Tamandua tetradactyla: one gene and its partner. The protein of the gene in region 1 interacts with the protein of each later gene in a biochemical or structural test. Links are inferred from orthologs where the notes say so. Each region holds a gene or a part of one and is shown on either strand. Other genes may lie near its edges. The genes, in order: TNFRSF8 and TNFSF8.

Region 1 (8,579 bases):
ACCAATTTTTTACCCTCTATCCCTCCCCTATTATTTATTTATATTTTTGTCCTTAATTTCTTACCCATCTGTCCATACCCTGGATAAAAGGAGCATCAGACACAAAGGTTTTCACAATCACACAGTCACATTATAAAAGTTATATGGTTACACAATCGTCTTCAAGAATCAAGGCTACTGGAACACAGCTCTACAGTTTCAGGTACTTCCCTTCAGCGTCTCTAATACACCACAAACCAAAAAGGGATATCTTTATCATGCATAAGAATAACCTCCAGGATAACCTCTCGACTCTGAAGTCTCTCAGCCACAGAAACTTTATTTAGTCTCACTTCTCTCCCACCTTTTCCCACCTCAGTCCTTGACCAGCCACCCTCAGCTCCTTTTTCTCCTTCAGCTGAGACCAGGTGGTGCTTTTTATTTATTTATTTATTTTGGGGGGGGTGCATGGTCTGGCAATCAAACCCGCATATAGGGCAGACATTCACCCACTGAACCCCCCGTGCACCCCAGGTGGTGCTTTTTGAGGGTGAAATTTACCAGGTTTTTACAGGGAAAAACAAACTGATTTGAAAATAGATAGGTTTAGAAATAGGATGGTTTCAGACCACTCTCTTTATCTTGAGGCCCCTAAGGCTGGGTGTCAGCTCAGCACCCTGCAGACGCCTTGCTCAGCCTTCACCCTGCTGGGGAACCCCACCCAAAAGCCCCCCTTCCAGTCCTTGGGCTTCCCCCTCCCACTCTCTCCTTTCTGACCCCTTGCCCTCCTAGGTAGGGCTGGCCCTTCCGGCCTCCTTGCTCGGTAGCAGCCATTGCTGACCAGCCGTCCAGGGTGGGGCCCCATGGCTGGTGACAGTGGACGGAGCTGTGGCAAATCAGAAGAGTTAGACTTCCTGGCTGCTGCCACCTTCTCTGTGGGGACCTGGGATGGGTGAAGGGCCCATGGGTGGGAGGTGGAGAGTAACAGGGGTCAGTGGGGCAGATGGGGGAGATCACAGAGGGAAAGCAATGAGTGGGGCTGTGGGGACCCTGGGCCAGTGTCGGGGGACCAGACGGGCACTTCTGGGTGAGACGAAGGGCCCAGATGTAGTCTCTCTTGGTTTCTGAGCTCCCCTCTCCCTCCCCCCGGGTCCTATTCGGCTATCTGGCACAGAGCAGGTGTTTGATATACTCACATGGTGGTCAGGAATCTCCTGACCTGGGCTCAGCCCCTGGGTCTCCCACACAGTGTGGCCCTTGGCCGGTGCCCCCTCTCTGACCCAGTTTCCACAGTAACAGTGGCCATGGGGTTGCTGGGTTGTTACTTCCACAACATGAGGGCAGAGTTGACCCCATTTTCTGGATGCTTGTAAGGTGATGATGTCATAGGAAAATAATTTCCCTGCTGTTCCACCACTGGTCTCCTCGGGGTCAGCCAGGGGCAGGTGGGGTGGGTGTTAGGTGACAGCTGAGCTGTGCCTCCACCCAGGCCCTGCCTGCACCTCTGGGAGTGGCTGGAGGGAGCTGGGGCCCAACTTCTCCGTGGGGGCAGGGGGTGCCTCCCTTCCGCCATAAGCCCCACATAGAAACCCTGTACTTCTTCCTTCCTGGTGCTAGACAGGCCTGATGCCCTGGCTGAGATCCTGTGTCCTCAGTAAACCACAAGAAAACGCTCCCCGATGGCAAACTGTATACCCCAGCTCCTTCCTTCCAGTTACCCAGAATTATTGTTGTAAAGAGCTGACACTCCGAAGCACTTAGCATCCTTTAGGTGCTGTTATTTACATATGTGCTTTGATACAGTTGCTTTATTTCTCTCTCTTTTTGTGTCACATATTATTACTATTTTCTTTGGTCAAACCATTTGCAGGTCAGTTGCTGACATTGTGATGCTTCATCTCTAAATACTTCAGCATGTTTTTTCTGCAACAAAGACATCTCTTAATAAACAAATGATCAAATGCAGGGTGTTTAACAACAGTAATATAACATTATCAAACATGAATTTCATATTCAAATTTCACCAGTCATTACAGTATTGTCCTTTATAGCAACTTTACAATCCCACCCTGCCCTGCCGTTTAGACCCAATCTAGGCATTGTAGCCAGTCATCATGTGTCCTTATCTGCAAATTCCTCAACTTTTCCTTGTCTCTTGTACATTGACATTTTTAAAGAGCCCAGGTCATTTGTTGTAGAAAGTACCTCAGTTTGGGTTTACCTGATGTTTGCTATGATTAGATTCAGATTACAGACTTTTGGTTGAAGGACCACAGAAGTGATACAGTGTCTTGCCCAGCCCAGGGCCCAGAGACGGGATAGATCTGAGGGTAAAATCTTTTCTCTGTGCTTAGTTGCTGTGTGACCTTGGGCTGGTGACTGCACCTCTCTGGGCTGCAGTTCTACAGTTTCCTCATTTATAAGATGGGGTGATCAACCCCCAGGGCTCGGGGGTGGGGGTAGGGGAAGTAAGGAGATGTGTGAAAGCACCAAGACCAACACTGTTGGGCTCCCTATTCTCCACACACTGTACCCCATCCCTCCATTGACTTGGGGTGTTCACGGCAAGAGATGAAGGGTAGAGCAGCCAAACTCCCCCTACCCAGCTGCCTCCCCACATCCTGGCAGAGTGATCAGGGACCTGAGGCTGTGGCCCCTCCGATTCTGCAGGCTTTCGGGAGATGAGCAGACAGGCCTGGTGGGGAAACCCAGGCCAGGGCCCCAGAATTTCCCCAACCCTCAGCTGGCCCAGTACTGCCCAACCCTCGTGCCCTGACCCATTCCACTCGCAGGCTTCCGAGGCTGCTCAGGGAGATGCTGGGAGGTCAGGGGGAACCTCCGGTTGTGTTGGCAGGTGTCTGCCCCCTGGCAAGGCTCTCAAGAGTGCCTCGATTTACAGCTGGGAGGTATGAGATCCTGCTGGAAGGAGGAGCTGGACGTGGGGTGGGGTGGCCTCATGTCCCTGGGCTCTGGATTAGATGAGAAAAGAGACACACAAGTTCCAAGAGACTGGTGTCATGCAAATGTCAGGCTATAGTTATTATTTCAAATTTATATGGTGATATGTTTCAGATGTGCAAAAAAAAAAAGAAAAATGGTATCAACACAACTAGGTGCATGCACCTGGCCAGCTGGACTCCTTTCTGTTCTCTGAACACACAAGATATATTGGTTTTATAGTTTGCACTGTTGCCTTGAGGGGAAAGAAGAGGGGGTGATGGCCCTTTTGGGGCAGCCAGGCCTCCCTCCTGAGAGGGGTCCAGCTTTTCTGCTTTCTTCTCCTCAAACCAAGTTCTTCCCTTCCCCCTGGATGAGCCTCGTCCATCCTAAAGGTAGCTCTGTCTCCCTGGAAGCCTGCCTCGGTGCTCTCCAGCCATCCCCCCAAGAAGACCAGAATCCCTTCTCCAGGATTCCAGCAGAAACTTTTCTTCTCTTGAATCCCCTCCGGCAGTGGGGCTGAATTTTTAAAGAGTACCAGACTTATGTTGGGGGAGGGCTTGGTAAAAATGCATGTTCCTGAAAAAAGTGAGCCTTGCCTCCATCACACATCACACACAAGATGGAATTCCTGATGGCTTGTCCACGCAAACAGGAAAAGTTAAATGACATCTTCTAGAAGATAAAGAGACTATTTAAATGATATTAGGTGGGCAGATGTTTCTTAAACAGGACACAAAAAAGGGAATTAACCATAAGAGAAATGATGGCTACATTGTACTTCATTACACTTAAGAATTCTGTTCATCAAAAGAGTCAATGGAGAAAGAGAAAAGGCAAGCTGTGGGACGGGAGACAATATTTACCACACATATATCCAACAAAGGACTTGTATCTAAAATATATAAACAAACAAATAAAAAAAAGTCAGACAACCCAATTAAAAAAAAATGGGCAAAAGACTCAGACATTCTACATGACAGAATATCCAGATGGCTAGTAACCATGTGAAAGTGCCCAATCTCATTTCTCATCAGAGAAAGGTAAATAAAAAACACAATGAGATACCAATACACATCCACCAAAATGGCTAACATTAAAAAACTGACAATACCAAGTGTTGGCAAGGATGTGGACAGTGGGAACTCGCACACACTGCCGGGAGGTATCAGTTGATACAGCCACTTTGGGAAACTGGAGAATCTATTGAAGCTGAACCTATGCATACCTTATGGCCCAGCAGTTCCACCCCTAAGTCTATACACAACAGAAATGTGAACATTTATGCAGCAAAATATCTGTATAGGAATGCTCTTAGCCACACTATCCATCACAATAAAAAACTGGAGACAACCCTAATATTCCATCAAGAGTAGAACAGAGAAATAATCTGTGCATATTCATGCAATGCAATAGTGCAAAGCAAAGAACATGGATCATTCTCACACTATAATGTTGAATTGAAGAGTTCAGTGGCAAGAGAACAAACAGCCTGCGTGATGCTAGTGGTCTCAAGTTCGAAAACAGACAAAAGCTAATCTGGGGTGTAGAAGTCAGGTTGGTGGGTACCTTTTGGGGATGTAGCATGAAGGGGCATGTGGAGGTGGCTGGGGTGCTGGCAATGACCATGAGGTCTGGGTGCTGATTGCAAAGTGTGTTAACACTGAAAGTCAGTGGGTTGCACGCTTGCCCTCTGTGCACTTTTCCATGGGTGCTAGACCGCAACAAACAAGTTTACTAAAAGTCCATGCTGGGCCAGGAGGGGGAGGAGGGGGGCTGAGTGGTCCGAAGAGGGCCGTGAGGATTTCCTGGTGGGTCGATGCAAGGACGAGAGGAAGAGAGACTCAAGGAAGTCTCGGAGGGCTTGGGTCTGAGCTACTGCCTGCTGGGGTTGTCATTGACCGGCCACGGGGATGTCCGCGGCGCAGTGGGTTTGAGGGAGAGGTGGAGTCAGGCCTTCCTGCCCCGGCTGTACATGAGGCTCGGTCCCAGCCTGGCTCTGACAGCGAGTGGAGACGACACTGGGCTTCCTGGGGCTGGAGGGGCCCACGGGGGGACTGATCACCCGCTGACCAGCTCTCGGCATGTCTGACCCCCCAGGACCGAGCCCCCAGGAACACCTGTGGCAGAGACCCCAGGCGCTACTATGACAAGGCAGCTGGCAGGTGCTGCTACCACTGCCCTGCAGGTGAGTGGGGTGCCTGGGGTGGGGACAGGGGGGGATTTTTGCCTCAAGGCCACAATCCTCTGGGAAGACCATAGCCCACATCATCATTGTCACAATCGGTTTAAGATTCTGCAAGGACTTTCCTGAGGAATCCACAATCTAGAAACTCTCTGTTGGAAGAGTAGGGCGAGAAGGATCAGGAGACTAGGTTTGTTGCTGCCACAAGGAAGAAGGTAGGTCTGTGAGTTCTGCTGTCAATTTCTAGCGGCCCCTATTGTTCTGAGACCTCCCATGCGTTGCATCATCTCATGAAGACCTCCCAATTATCCTTCCCTATTCCCATTTTGCAGTAGAGGACAGCAGGGCTTCAGCAAGGGTAAGTAACTTGCCCAGAGCCGCAGAGCTGAGAGCGGCAGGGCTGGCGGTGCCCAGGGCTGCGTTTCCCCAGAGCCTGGGCTGTCAACACCCACCGACCGCCCCGCTTCGGGTGCCTGGAAGTCCTTTGCCTTCCTCAACTGCTCCAGCCCCGAACATGCCAGTAGAGCTTTCAAGGGACCGGTCTCCCTGCCCAGAGCATGCTTCCTGGGGTGCTCGCCCACCCCCACAGTGGTTGGCTCCTGGTGGATTATCAGGAAAAGCTTCTGAGAACAGGGACGGGCATTGTCCTTCCCATCTCACAGACGATGCTCTGGCCCAAGGAGGTGAGCAAGTAGCATGAGGTCCAGAGGTATTTCCATCCTCAGAAGGCATGGCCAGGGACCTTAGCTGTGTTGGAAAAAGATAAAAGTGCACCGTGTCCTCTGACCTCCGGGGACAGGGCAGGTCACAGGGGAGGGAAGAGAGCAGTTATGCCAGCTATGCCGGGAACGTGTCTGGTTCATCGTAACTGCTGCAGTGCTTTGAGGACAGCAGGTCATCGGAGGACAAGCCTGCTCCATCTGTCTGTCACCCTTCTCCCCCCACACCCCCTCTCCCATGCACACTTCTCCCACTGCCTCCCACCCCTCTCCCATGAGCTCTTCCATCTACCCATCCAACAAATATTTATTGCTAGTTCTTATAGTGAGGTCACTCTTTGGCCCTTGGCCTTTCTGTAGAAAGCTGTGCTTGGTGTCCCTGGACATACTGGGGGCTTTCAGGTCTCTGGCCCTTTGCCCAGGCCTGCTCCTCTACCTGGGGGGCCCTGCCCACTGTCTCCTACCTGCCAAAGCCTGCCCCCTCTTCCGTGAGGTCTGTCACACATGCCTGTGCTGTCTCCCACACGGCACCTCCCGGGCTAAGCTCAGTCAGGGCTTTCACTCTCCCCTTTGGGCGGGGTGTGGCCCCCAGAGTTCTGCGGCTTTCCATGGGGTCTGCAGTCCCAGCCACTTCCTTCTCACCCTTCTCTGGCCCCTTTGATCCAGCCTGACAGGGCCCTGAGGCCATGAAGGGGTGGGGCGGGGCGGTGGGATGGGGCAGTGGGGAGGGGGAAGAGGCACAATCCCGGCCCCCCACCTCTCCCAGGCGCCTGTGACTGCGGGTGGCCACCCCACGCGGCTGCACTGGGCAGGGCATTTTGCTGGAGTTTTATTGGCCCAGTGCTTCCGGGCAAGCAAGTGAGGGAAGCCGAAAAACCCACAAAAACCCCTCCCTTGGTCTCTTGGGGAAATTTCTGACATTTTGTCCGTGGTCTACAATCAGCACTCAGCTGTGTGGCAGGGTTTGCACGGGGGCGGGGTGGTAGAGGAAGGAAGCTGGGAGACCTTTGAGTCTGAGAGGTTTAGATGTCACCAAATCCATCCTCTTACTCTGACCCTTTTATAATCCCCTTTCCAGTTGTCCTGACAGATTCCCCAGCCCTCTGCTTACATGCCCTCAGTGACAGGGAGCTCACTGCCTCACAACTACTGTAATTAACATTGAGTATGCGTGTGTGCCAGCCATAGTGCTGTGTCTTTTACAGAATTAGCTCACTGAACCCTGTCTTAGTTTCCTGGGGCTGCTGTAACCAAGTACCATGAACTGGGTACTTGGGGAGACTCCTTTCTTGCCTCTTCCAGTTTCTAGGGGTTTGCTGGCAATCCTTGCTATTTCTCAGCTTGCAGCTGCAACACTTCAATCCTGGCTTCCGTCACCCCATGGCCATCTTCTCTCATCTGTCTCTTCTCTTCTTATAAGGACACCAGTCCTACTGGATTGGAGGCCCAGCCCATTCCCATAAAACCTCATCTTAACTTAATGAATTCCATCTGCAATGCCCCTATTTTCAAATAAGGCCGGATTCCCAGATGCAGGTCATCCCGTAACAAACCCTTACAGGAACCCCATGAGGTAGGTGCTATTATTAAATTCCACAGCAAGTGAAGAAACTTGGACATGGAGAGGTTTAGGATTTGCACAAGGCCCCGTGCTGGTCAGTGGCTTAGCTGGGATTTGAACCTGAGCCTTCAAGATCTGAATCTTGACTTATTTGATACAGACCCCCAAGGCCTTGCTCTTTGGGTACAGCAGGGCATATCAGTTAAGAGCTGATATTGGGGCTACAAACCCACTTCCTCTTCTCTACCATGCCTCCTGGATCATCCTTCTTCTTGATGTCCAGACTTATTTCCTGCAGAAGGGGTCTCCCTGCAGATGAGAGGCCTGCCCAGGTGTGGGGGGCAAGAGTGTGGAAGCCAGGCCCAGTGTTAGGTGGAGAGCCAGGGTGGGGCTAGGTGGGTGTACCCAATCTCATCCAAGGGACTGAGGCTTTCTCCCAGGGCTGTAAATATTGCCGCTCAAAAGTGAGCCCTTGTCCGATGTGCATCACAGTCAATTAAGTGACACTGGGATTTTTTTTTTTTTTTTTTAACATGGGCAGGCACTGGGAATCGAACCCGGGTCCTCTGGCATGGCAGGCAAGCATTCTTGCCTGCTGAGCCACCGTGGCCCACCCTACACTGGGATTTTAAGAGGAGAAAAACTTTATTTAGCAAAGGCTAGCCTTGTGAAGACAGCAGGACAGTTCCTTACATCTGTCTCCCCAAATTGGAGAAGATTTCAGTGGTTCATAGCATTCAAATAAGGGCAGGCAGGCTTAGGGTAATGAGGTGGTTTGAGGTGATGAGGTTAGAGTTAGTCTCATTTCTGATTATGCACATATTGATTTCATGCTCAGCTCACTTTAAGGTTTAGGCTACTGTGCATGTAAGGCGTGGGCTAACTGTGATTAGAACTGGCTTGGTCTAGCAAAATAGATTAGGAATTGGGGTGGTTAGTTCTGGGTTGACTCATGTGACTTCATTAATAAACACTGAGGGGTTACATGCAGGAGTATCAGACTTCAGGGTTATAAAACAAGAGAAGGGGATACAAGCCGGGCCAGTTACGTCTCGTCACAAGGTAAAGATGGCAACGATCAGAGGTATTTGCTTCTGGCTATGTCACAATATATTAGAAAGTTTGAAAGCATTTAGATAATGCTTCAGTAACTATACTTGTTTGTTAGCACTTGGTTACTCAAGCAAGACGTGGCCTC
Region 2 (8,344 bases), about 170 Mb from region 1:
GAAGCTCTGCAGGTAAAAAGTATCCAAGATATCCCACTGTATCTGGAGTAGTATCATAATGGTAGTGTCCACCTTCTCCGTGGCGACTGAAACAATGAGTGCGCTCCAGTCGCAAATCAAACCTCGGGTTTCTGGAGACAAAAACTGGCAGACAAACCAAAGGAGCATTCATCCCATAAAAATGCAACCGTTTATTCATTCTTCATCAGTGTTCAATGGGCAGGAAGAAAATTCTGGGGGCTTGATTCAAGAAAAGCTGATGGGTCCAGAACACCTCTGTCAGACTTAACCTTGTTTTAAACTGTGTTTGCACATGTGCCTACTGATCTAGAACTGTAAGACCATTGTTTTCATGGTCCTTCAACCCTGCTAGGACAGCCTCACTCATTGGGTGTTATATGGCAATCAACCCATTCCATGTTCAATAATGGAATTGTAAGTTTAAGTTCCATGGGTCTCTCCCATAGATTTCTTCCCTAGAGTCTTATTAAAGTTTCCTTGCTTGTCTAAATTCTACCTATCTTTAAGTCAGTCCACATTCCCTCTTCTTGCAGGAAGTCTTTCTTGATAACTCAAGCTCAAAGGGATAACACTTTTGTCTTAATTCTTATAATAGTTAACATCTGAACAATCCACTGGAAATGAAATGTTGAAAGAGCTCAACACAACATTACTATTGATATTAATATTACAGGCCTTAGTTTTTAAGCAAGAGATTGATGTTTCTCATGCTGAGAAACCACAGCATGCCAAATTGTACAGATTGTGAGATGAATCCATTCATACCCAAGCATGAAGGGTAAGTCAAGAAAATGGATGCACAAGAAGATAAGGCCTCCAAGAGAGGAGTGGGGACAGTTCCTTAGGTCTGTCGCTGTCTATATTGACAAAAGCAATGCTACCACTTTCTCAGGATGAGATTTAATTCAAGTACTGTCCTTTCTATTCTTCTCATTCTCCACATTTATTCAAAGGAAGCAGAAAGAGCCACTCCAGTATCATGGAAGAAATCAATTAAACTAAAAGTTAGATTTGAATGAGGACCATTCTGGAGCTCTTTCTAGCTTTATATATCACCCTTTTCTCCCCAACAAATATCAACCATACTGTCTTTTCTCTTTCTCTCTTCCTTCCTTCCTTTCACGTTCTCACTCTTCCTCTCTTTTTCCTTCTTCTTCTTCCTCGTTCTTCGTCTTAGCAGTTCTATCTGCATCTTTTAACTAAAGAACTTCTTAAAGTCCACTTCAATTTCTTTTCTTTACTGCTATGAGATGACTACCTCTAGTTAACTCATAATTAGAGCTATAGAAATTATAGAGTATCTGCCAAGAAAAAGATTCCCTAGAATGTTTGCACGAGTATTAATCTTAGTAGATGTAGATGAGCCCATTAAGTAATGTTTTACAAATTTCCATTATCTAAATAAAATGTTAAAAATTCTGTATCCTTTCACTTTTATGGATATGTGAGCTTCAAAACTTTATTTAAATTTTGAAGCCTGTTCACACTTGAGGAATGGATACCAAAGCATTTTAAAACCTAGATCTTTTTTGCAATCAAGAAATTATAGAGCATTTGACATTAGACAATGGGAGGAGACCCACAGCAAATTCTGCAGGATTGCTAAACCATGAAAAATGGATGCTATAAAGAAATAAACATAGGGCTGGGGAATGGAGAGTACATTCTCAAATTATCTGTTCTTTAAACACAAAAAATTTACTTCATTAAAAAAATTCATGTGCAATATATGTGATCAGCACAGTCTTTTCAATAAAATACATACTGATGGATTCTCTGTAAATGCAGATTTTCTAAACTGTGAAGAAGCTTCCGTCTTCATCTCTTCTGTTTTCAGAAACAAATCTTAACCCTTTATTTCAAACTAAGTAAACCTCCTGAGATGGCTTTACCCTGTATAGCGTGTACCTCATGATTGCTTTAATTTTAGAGTTCTGAGGAGGCTTGGAGGGAATGGTTTGTTAAAATTATCTCTATTTTTTTGCCTTTGCACTCTACACCCTAAACTCTTCAAAGCAGAGGCATGTTTTCAATTTTCCCTGTGGCTTTTAATGCTGAAATGCCAAAGCCCTAAGGAGCTTTTGTCTGCTCCCTTGCCCCCCTCCATTAATGACTTTGACCCTTGAGATTGACCTCCCTGTTTAAAGGTCTTGGTGACGGATGTGGTCTCAGAAGCCCGAGGAACATCTGGACTGAGGAGATGAACATTGGAATCTGGTCTCAAAGCCTTGAAGACAGGACAGCAAGTTGTGCAAACATGCTATCAGGTGTCCGTATCTATTCTTTCCTTGATATGAGTCTCTGGCATAACAAGATTTAAATCTTAATTTCTAAAGGCCAACAGTTGCCCTCCATCCTTTTGGCTCACATGAGCCTGGAAAGTTTTGAGATAATGGCTTAAGAAATATTTCTTGAAGGGTCAAATGATTTCAAAGAGTTAGGCTCCTGTTTCTTTTCTCCCTTTCCTTATATGATATATGTTTTTTTTTTCTCTCTCTCTCAATTTGTAGTTTTGTTTTTTTTTTAACCAAATTCTCCCTGGAGGAAAGTAAACATAAATTAGAAAGGAGAGGCAAGGCGAAGGAGCCCACTTACCGTTCTTTGAACTACCAACACCATGATGGTTGCCACAGCAAAGACGAGACTCAGAGCCAGGGTGGCTGTGGTGAAATAGAAATAACTCCGGATAGGGGATCCCAAGTGGCTGGAGACAGAGTCTGACGGCCCATGCATGGCTGGGTCTCGGAAGGGGGCCACCCTGTTGAGTGTTTGCGACAGTCCAGTGTCCATTGTTTATATAGTCGTCCCTGCATCACACCTTATCTCTCCTCATCTGAGTCGGTTCTGGGCCCATCTCGGTTCCAAGAAGGATTCTCCCCCTGCATCCTGGATCACGTGACCTGGAAAAAAACCTTCACCAGCTGCCTTGTGAAGAAAACCTTTTCTGGGGGCGTGAGGCAAAAGGCAACTGCAAGAGTGGGGGAGAAGTTCATTTTTCATCGCCAGGGATTAATTTGAGTGCAGAGAAACTGCAGCTACGGAGAAGGTGGCTGATGTCAGAGGGCGCATAGGAAAATGACAGTTCCCCTACTGTATGTGTGTGTGTGTGTGTGTGTGTGTGTGTGTGCGCGCGCGCGCGTACAAAGAGACTTTGGTTTCACTTAGACTCAACCACGAAACTCCTTCCTGCTTGAGAGGCTGCACGTTCTCTTCAGCAAGGTCTGCTGCTGGGAAGACCTCCTCGGATGCCTCTGGGCTGAGTTTTGGGAAGGCTGGACCCTTTTGACTTAAAACAGTTTAGTCTGATAATATCAGCCCCTGGTGGGAACTAGAAATGCAATCAGGTGTCTGGGAAGGAAGAGTCCACCAACATGGAGTTTTTACCCAAAAAGGGGACACCCTCGTGGCAGCATGAAATCTGGGGACAAGTTCAGTGATACTGTAGTACAGGGGTCCAGAAACACTGCCCTTTTCTGCAAAGTGCTTTGGGATCTGTTAAATGTGCATATCAACCCGGGCCTGATAAAAAGAGGAAGGAATTTGTGGTATGGAGGTGGGAAGGTGGTGTGGTAGGGAATGTGCGGTGTGTTTGTGGTGTCTGCGGATGTGGTATGTTACGTGTGTGTTGTGTGTGTGTGTTTGTGGTATATGTTGTGTTTGTGGTAGGTGTTGCATATGTGTGTTGTAAGTGTTTATGGTGTGTTTTGTGCGTGCTTGTGTATGTGTATGTGACTACTATAATTAGATCTCTGTTCCAGGCACAGCGCTAGGAGATTTACGTACATTGCCTCACCCTACCCTCTCCTTGGCTCTCTGAAGCAGTCATAGACTTCCCATACACAGGATGGGAAAATTGAGGTTCAGAGAAAATGAAATCTGTTGGGCAATGAAAGAACTTGAATGTCATCAAAACCTGCCTGGCCCCAAAGCCTGTGCAATCCCATTCAAACTTTATTGCGCTTGAAGGCTCAAAAGCAGAGGTTTGGGCTCAGCCTTACCTCTTATTAGCCTTGGGTGTTTGAACAAGTCCTTATGTCCCTCTCTTTTTCCATCTGCAAAATGGGCTAAGGACACCTGCAATAATAGTCATTATGAAGATCAAATGGCATGATGATGTAAGAGTGCTTTGTAAATAGGAATAGTCTTGGTGGATGATTTAGGGCCATTCTTTTTCAAACATCCAAGTGGCCAATTCTGGAATTGAGATAAATACAATACATAGGTTCTCTTGGGGGGACAGAGCTGGGTCACACATCTCTGGTTACTAATGATTGAGGCAGGGGATCTCCCTGGCTGACTCTCAATTTCAAAACCCCATTTAAAATGTGAATCATTGCATAGCTACTGTCTCCAGATGTGGTTGTTTAAAACCGGGAAGTAACCAGTTATTTGTAGAACTCCTCCCCTTTCTGCTCAGTTTTTGGCTGTAGTAGATCTGTGAGAGGCAGTGATTATCTCAGACCCCAGGACATTTCTCAGGAAATATCCTGGCTGACTTTGGATTTTTTATCACTGCCACAGTCTTGTCAATCTAAAATTTCGGAGGATCACCTGAGTTAAGTCAGCTTCTGGGAGTTGGTCTGGATGTCATGTTCCTTCCCAATGAATCCAAGTAAGAACATAGATCCTGGAGAAGGAAGAGGAATTGTTTTCTTGGGCTAAGTCAAGTGGGCGGCAGTATACTTATTCTACAGTTGAGGAGGTTGGCGTCCTCTTGAACCCAACTTGAACTGAGTTTTGGAAGAAATGTGTATGCACATTCATTTGGTCTGGTAATTGAGGAGGGAATGAAAGAAGCCAGTGTTTTTAGGGGTGTGTTCAGTGGCTGTTTTGGGGAGAAGGTTGAGTCCTGTGGGAGACACAGGCAGTGAGTGGGTAGCAGGGGGCTCTCTAATCTGCCCAGAGCTGCTGAGAACCAGCTCCTCCCCCAGTCCTCTGTGTTCAGCCTCTTTGATGAAAATGGAAAACTTCTGATTGTTGAATGGAAGCTGTGGGTGTTGAAAAATAAAAAGGGTTTGCTTGAAGTGCCCGGCTTCCTGAAGGCCCATGGGGTTGAGAAGGGCAGTGGAAAAAAATGTTTGTCTTACAGTTACCCGTTTTGCATACAGTACAGTGTCCTGGGAGGGAAGGCTGACAAGGGGGAAAAATAACGCCCGTTGATTTTACTCAGAACCTTCTGAGCAGTTGAGATTTTCAGATCGGTTTGTTTCTCCAGCTGCTTTTGGGCCAGATTTCGCACATTTGCTGGTGGTGCCCTTCTACTCAGAAGCCTTCGGTGGTTCCCTATTCCTGTCCCCGTTAATCTTACCCTTCTTTGTCTTCCAAGCTGCACCCCGCTTAGCGGGTACCAGCCTGTGTCTAATTGGCTTCTTTCTTTTATTCAGCCACCAAGTTTGCCCACGGAAAGAGCCTTTACACAGAGTTTCTTGTGGAGTGGTTTTCAATTCCTTTCTGGAAGTGAAACTCGATAAAGAGAGAAAAGATGCAAGAAAGAGGAACAGCTCTGCCTGAAGCAAGGTTGGGACAAGGAAAAGGGGTTGGTCCTGCCTATTCGTCCACCCTCTTCTAACCTGGGGCCACTCTAAGATGGAATAACATAGGAAAACTTCTGACTGAGCTCAAACCCTTCACTTCCCCCAAAGGGAAACTGAGACATAGAAATGGCAGTGTCTTGGTAGAGTTCACATGGACAGGGGTAGAGACCTGCTTAGAAGTCTCCTCTACACTTTCTTATCTACTCTCTGCTAATATTCTAGGTGCTCGCAGGCTTCCTCTGATGTTTTCCTCACCCTTCCGCTGCTTCAGATCTTTCCTGTCCTTCCAGCTGCCTGCCAGCCTTCCTCACCATCTCCAGCAGAGCCTTCCCAACCTCTTGAGTGAAATACCCTCTTCAGCAACCCTTTTTCTCCATGCCACATAACCTCATTGCTAAGTAGCTACTTCTCTTGCTCTTCTCAGACTTCTGAATCCTTGTAAACCACCAAGCCTTATTGGAGACTGGGACCTATGGTCAGTCAACTCTCAGTCAGCACTTGTGTTGACTGTCTTTGTGTTTATGGAAAGAGAAAGCCCTAGAATGGTGGCTTAGATAAAAGAATTGGATGATGGCATATTTGCCTCTCCCTTCTTAGCTGCCCCAACCCCCATTTGTCCATTCTCTTTAGATGGTTTACTCAGCTGTCCATTGGCCTTTATGTTCTAGTCTGGCCATGTGAGCTTGACCACCAGCCTCTTCTCAGCCAGTTATTAGTGGCTGAGGTGTGGCTGCAGTACCTACAACTCAGTGGGAAAACAGAACTGATTTGTCATCCCTACAAGAGAGAACCCCATTTTGAGAAAATGAAGAGGAACCACCTATAGGACTTCCCATTGCTTCCGCATATAAGGGACTGTGAGATCTCTGTCACATAGGCTAGTAGTTCTCAAAATGTGGTCTGGGAACCAGTAGCATCAATATCACCTGGAAAGTTATTAGAAATGCAAATTCTCAGACCTTACCCCAGACCTACTGAATCAGAAACTCAGGCTGGGGCCCAGTCATGCGTGTTTTAACAAGCACTCCAGGGAATCGTCATGCATGCAAATATTTGAGAATCAGCGGTTTAGGGAAATAAGTTGTCTAACTTCTAGGAAGAACTCCGGGAGATAATCTGGTCCAGATTCTGGCATTTGGCAGGTGAATTACTATGCCCATTGTGCAGATGAGAAAACTGAGGCATAGAGAAATTATTGTCTGGGGTCATAAGCTGGGTAAGGGTTGTGTGAAGACTAGTTTTTCTGCCCCGTGATTGAGATCTCTTTCAAACCTCAAATATTAGGTTAGCCTAGGTTGTAAGCCCTGAAAATATTACCGATGATGTAGCTGGGCATATATTTGTAAATAAACAGAAGGAATTTTATTTATCTAAATTTCTCTTGTGGTGGTCACAGTTTGTGATAGAAAGAAATATATTTTTTTAATCTACTGGTGTATGTGAGAGAAGGAGGGACTCTCTCAGGATATGCTCAAGCAGTAAAGCATGCAACTAAACCATCTTGTGTGGAGGGAGTTTCCTGTGCCATCAGTTCAAAAGCCATTGTCTTGCTGGGGCTAATGTGAAGAGGCTGGGCATCGGAATCGGACCAGAGGGACATTTCCGTGACAAGAACCAGTGAGGGTAGGTACAGTGGGAGTAAGGTTTAGAGTAGAAAGCAGCAAACTATGGCCCATAGCCCAAAGCTGGCCAGGCACTTATTTTTGTCAATGAAATTTTATTGGAACATGACGACATCCATTATCTATGGCTGCATTTGTACTACCCCAGCAGGTTTGATGAACTCTCTTGGCACACAAAGTCTAAAACAGTTACTATCTAGTCCTTTACAGAAAATATTTCTGAAACCTAGTTTGTAATATCAAAATAAACCTAAAGCAGGAGAACTGAGAAGAGGTTTGGGGAAAAGAATAGAAATGCATTGCTTAAGACTCCCTTACAAAGTTTTTGGTAATACCTACGTTTCTGATTCGCACTTTCATGTGAGAGAATTCTTTTTGGGATTCACTAATTGGAGAGGAGTTGTATGTCCTGGATGGTGCACGACAAAAATAGACTTCTTGAGAAAACAGAATAGCTGAAGGATGAGGGGTGTGGGCTGAAGACGTCTGGGAGACTAATAGGTAGACTTTTAGAATATAATATTCGCATATTATATATTTATATGTTACATAAATACACACACACTCACACACATATACATAAGACATATATATATATATTTTATCCCTGCCTACTTTAAAACAGTTTTAAGGCAATTTATGATAAATGTACAGGTATATAAGAACTGGAGCAATTAATCCAACGTAAAGATAGAAACCATGATATAGCAAAGAGAGTAAGATAAAAGTACTAAGAAACTCTAGTTGATGACACTTTGAGAATTTGTATACAAGATGCATACCTCTGGGCTTCCTGACAACAAGGACAAAGAAGGAAACACATTGGATTTCAGAACACATTTTAGTTGGTTGTAAAAAAAGAAGATGAATCAAAAGGAGAAATGTATACTTTACCAGTTGCTTTGAAATATATAATATGTATTGTAAAGCCAGATGATTTTAACATATGAATTTAAAGCATGCCATTGCAATGAATTAAGATGAGAACCAATCTTAAGTGAATATAGTGGAATATTTAAAAAGAAATGTAGCATTTGGTTTTCAACAATCCAGAGCTAGCGAGGAACTGGGAGACAAGAAAAAAGAGAATAGTTTTCCTGGCCTCTAGGGGTGTCCTGTCCACTTGAAGGGCTAGAAAACTGGAACGATGCTTCTTAAGAAACCTAT

What was found.
Region 2: the proteins of TNFRSF8 (region 1) and TNFSF8 form a complex in vitro, tested with the Homo sapiens proteins (2 studies listed by BioGRID and IntAct). The link is inferred for Tamandua tetradactyla from reciprocal best matches to the Homo sapiens genes TNFRSF8 and TNFSF8.

What each region holds. Positions count from the first base shown.
Region 1 is NC_135328.1:213,358,255-213,366,833, reverse strand, and holds the start of TNFRSF8 (tumor necrosis factor receptor superfamily member 8), read left to right. Parts: upstream 1-5,016; 5' UTR 5,017-5,104; intron 5,105-8,579. UniProt on the Homo sapiens protein: Receptor for TNFSF8/CD30L. May play a role in the regulation of cellular growth and transformation of activated lymphoblasts. Regulates gene expression through activation of NF-kappa-B.
Region 2 is NC_135328.1:42,671,172-42,679,515, reverse strand, and holds the start of TNFSF8 (tumor necrosis factor ligand superfamily member 8), read right to left. Parts: upstream 3,087-8,344; 5' UTR 2,812-3,086; coding exon 2,617-2,811; intron 1-2,616.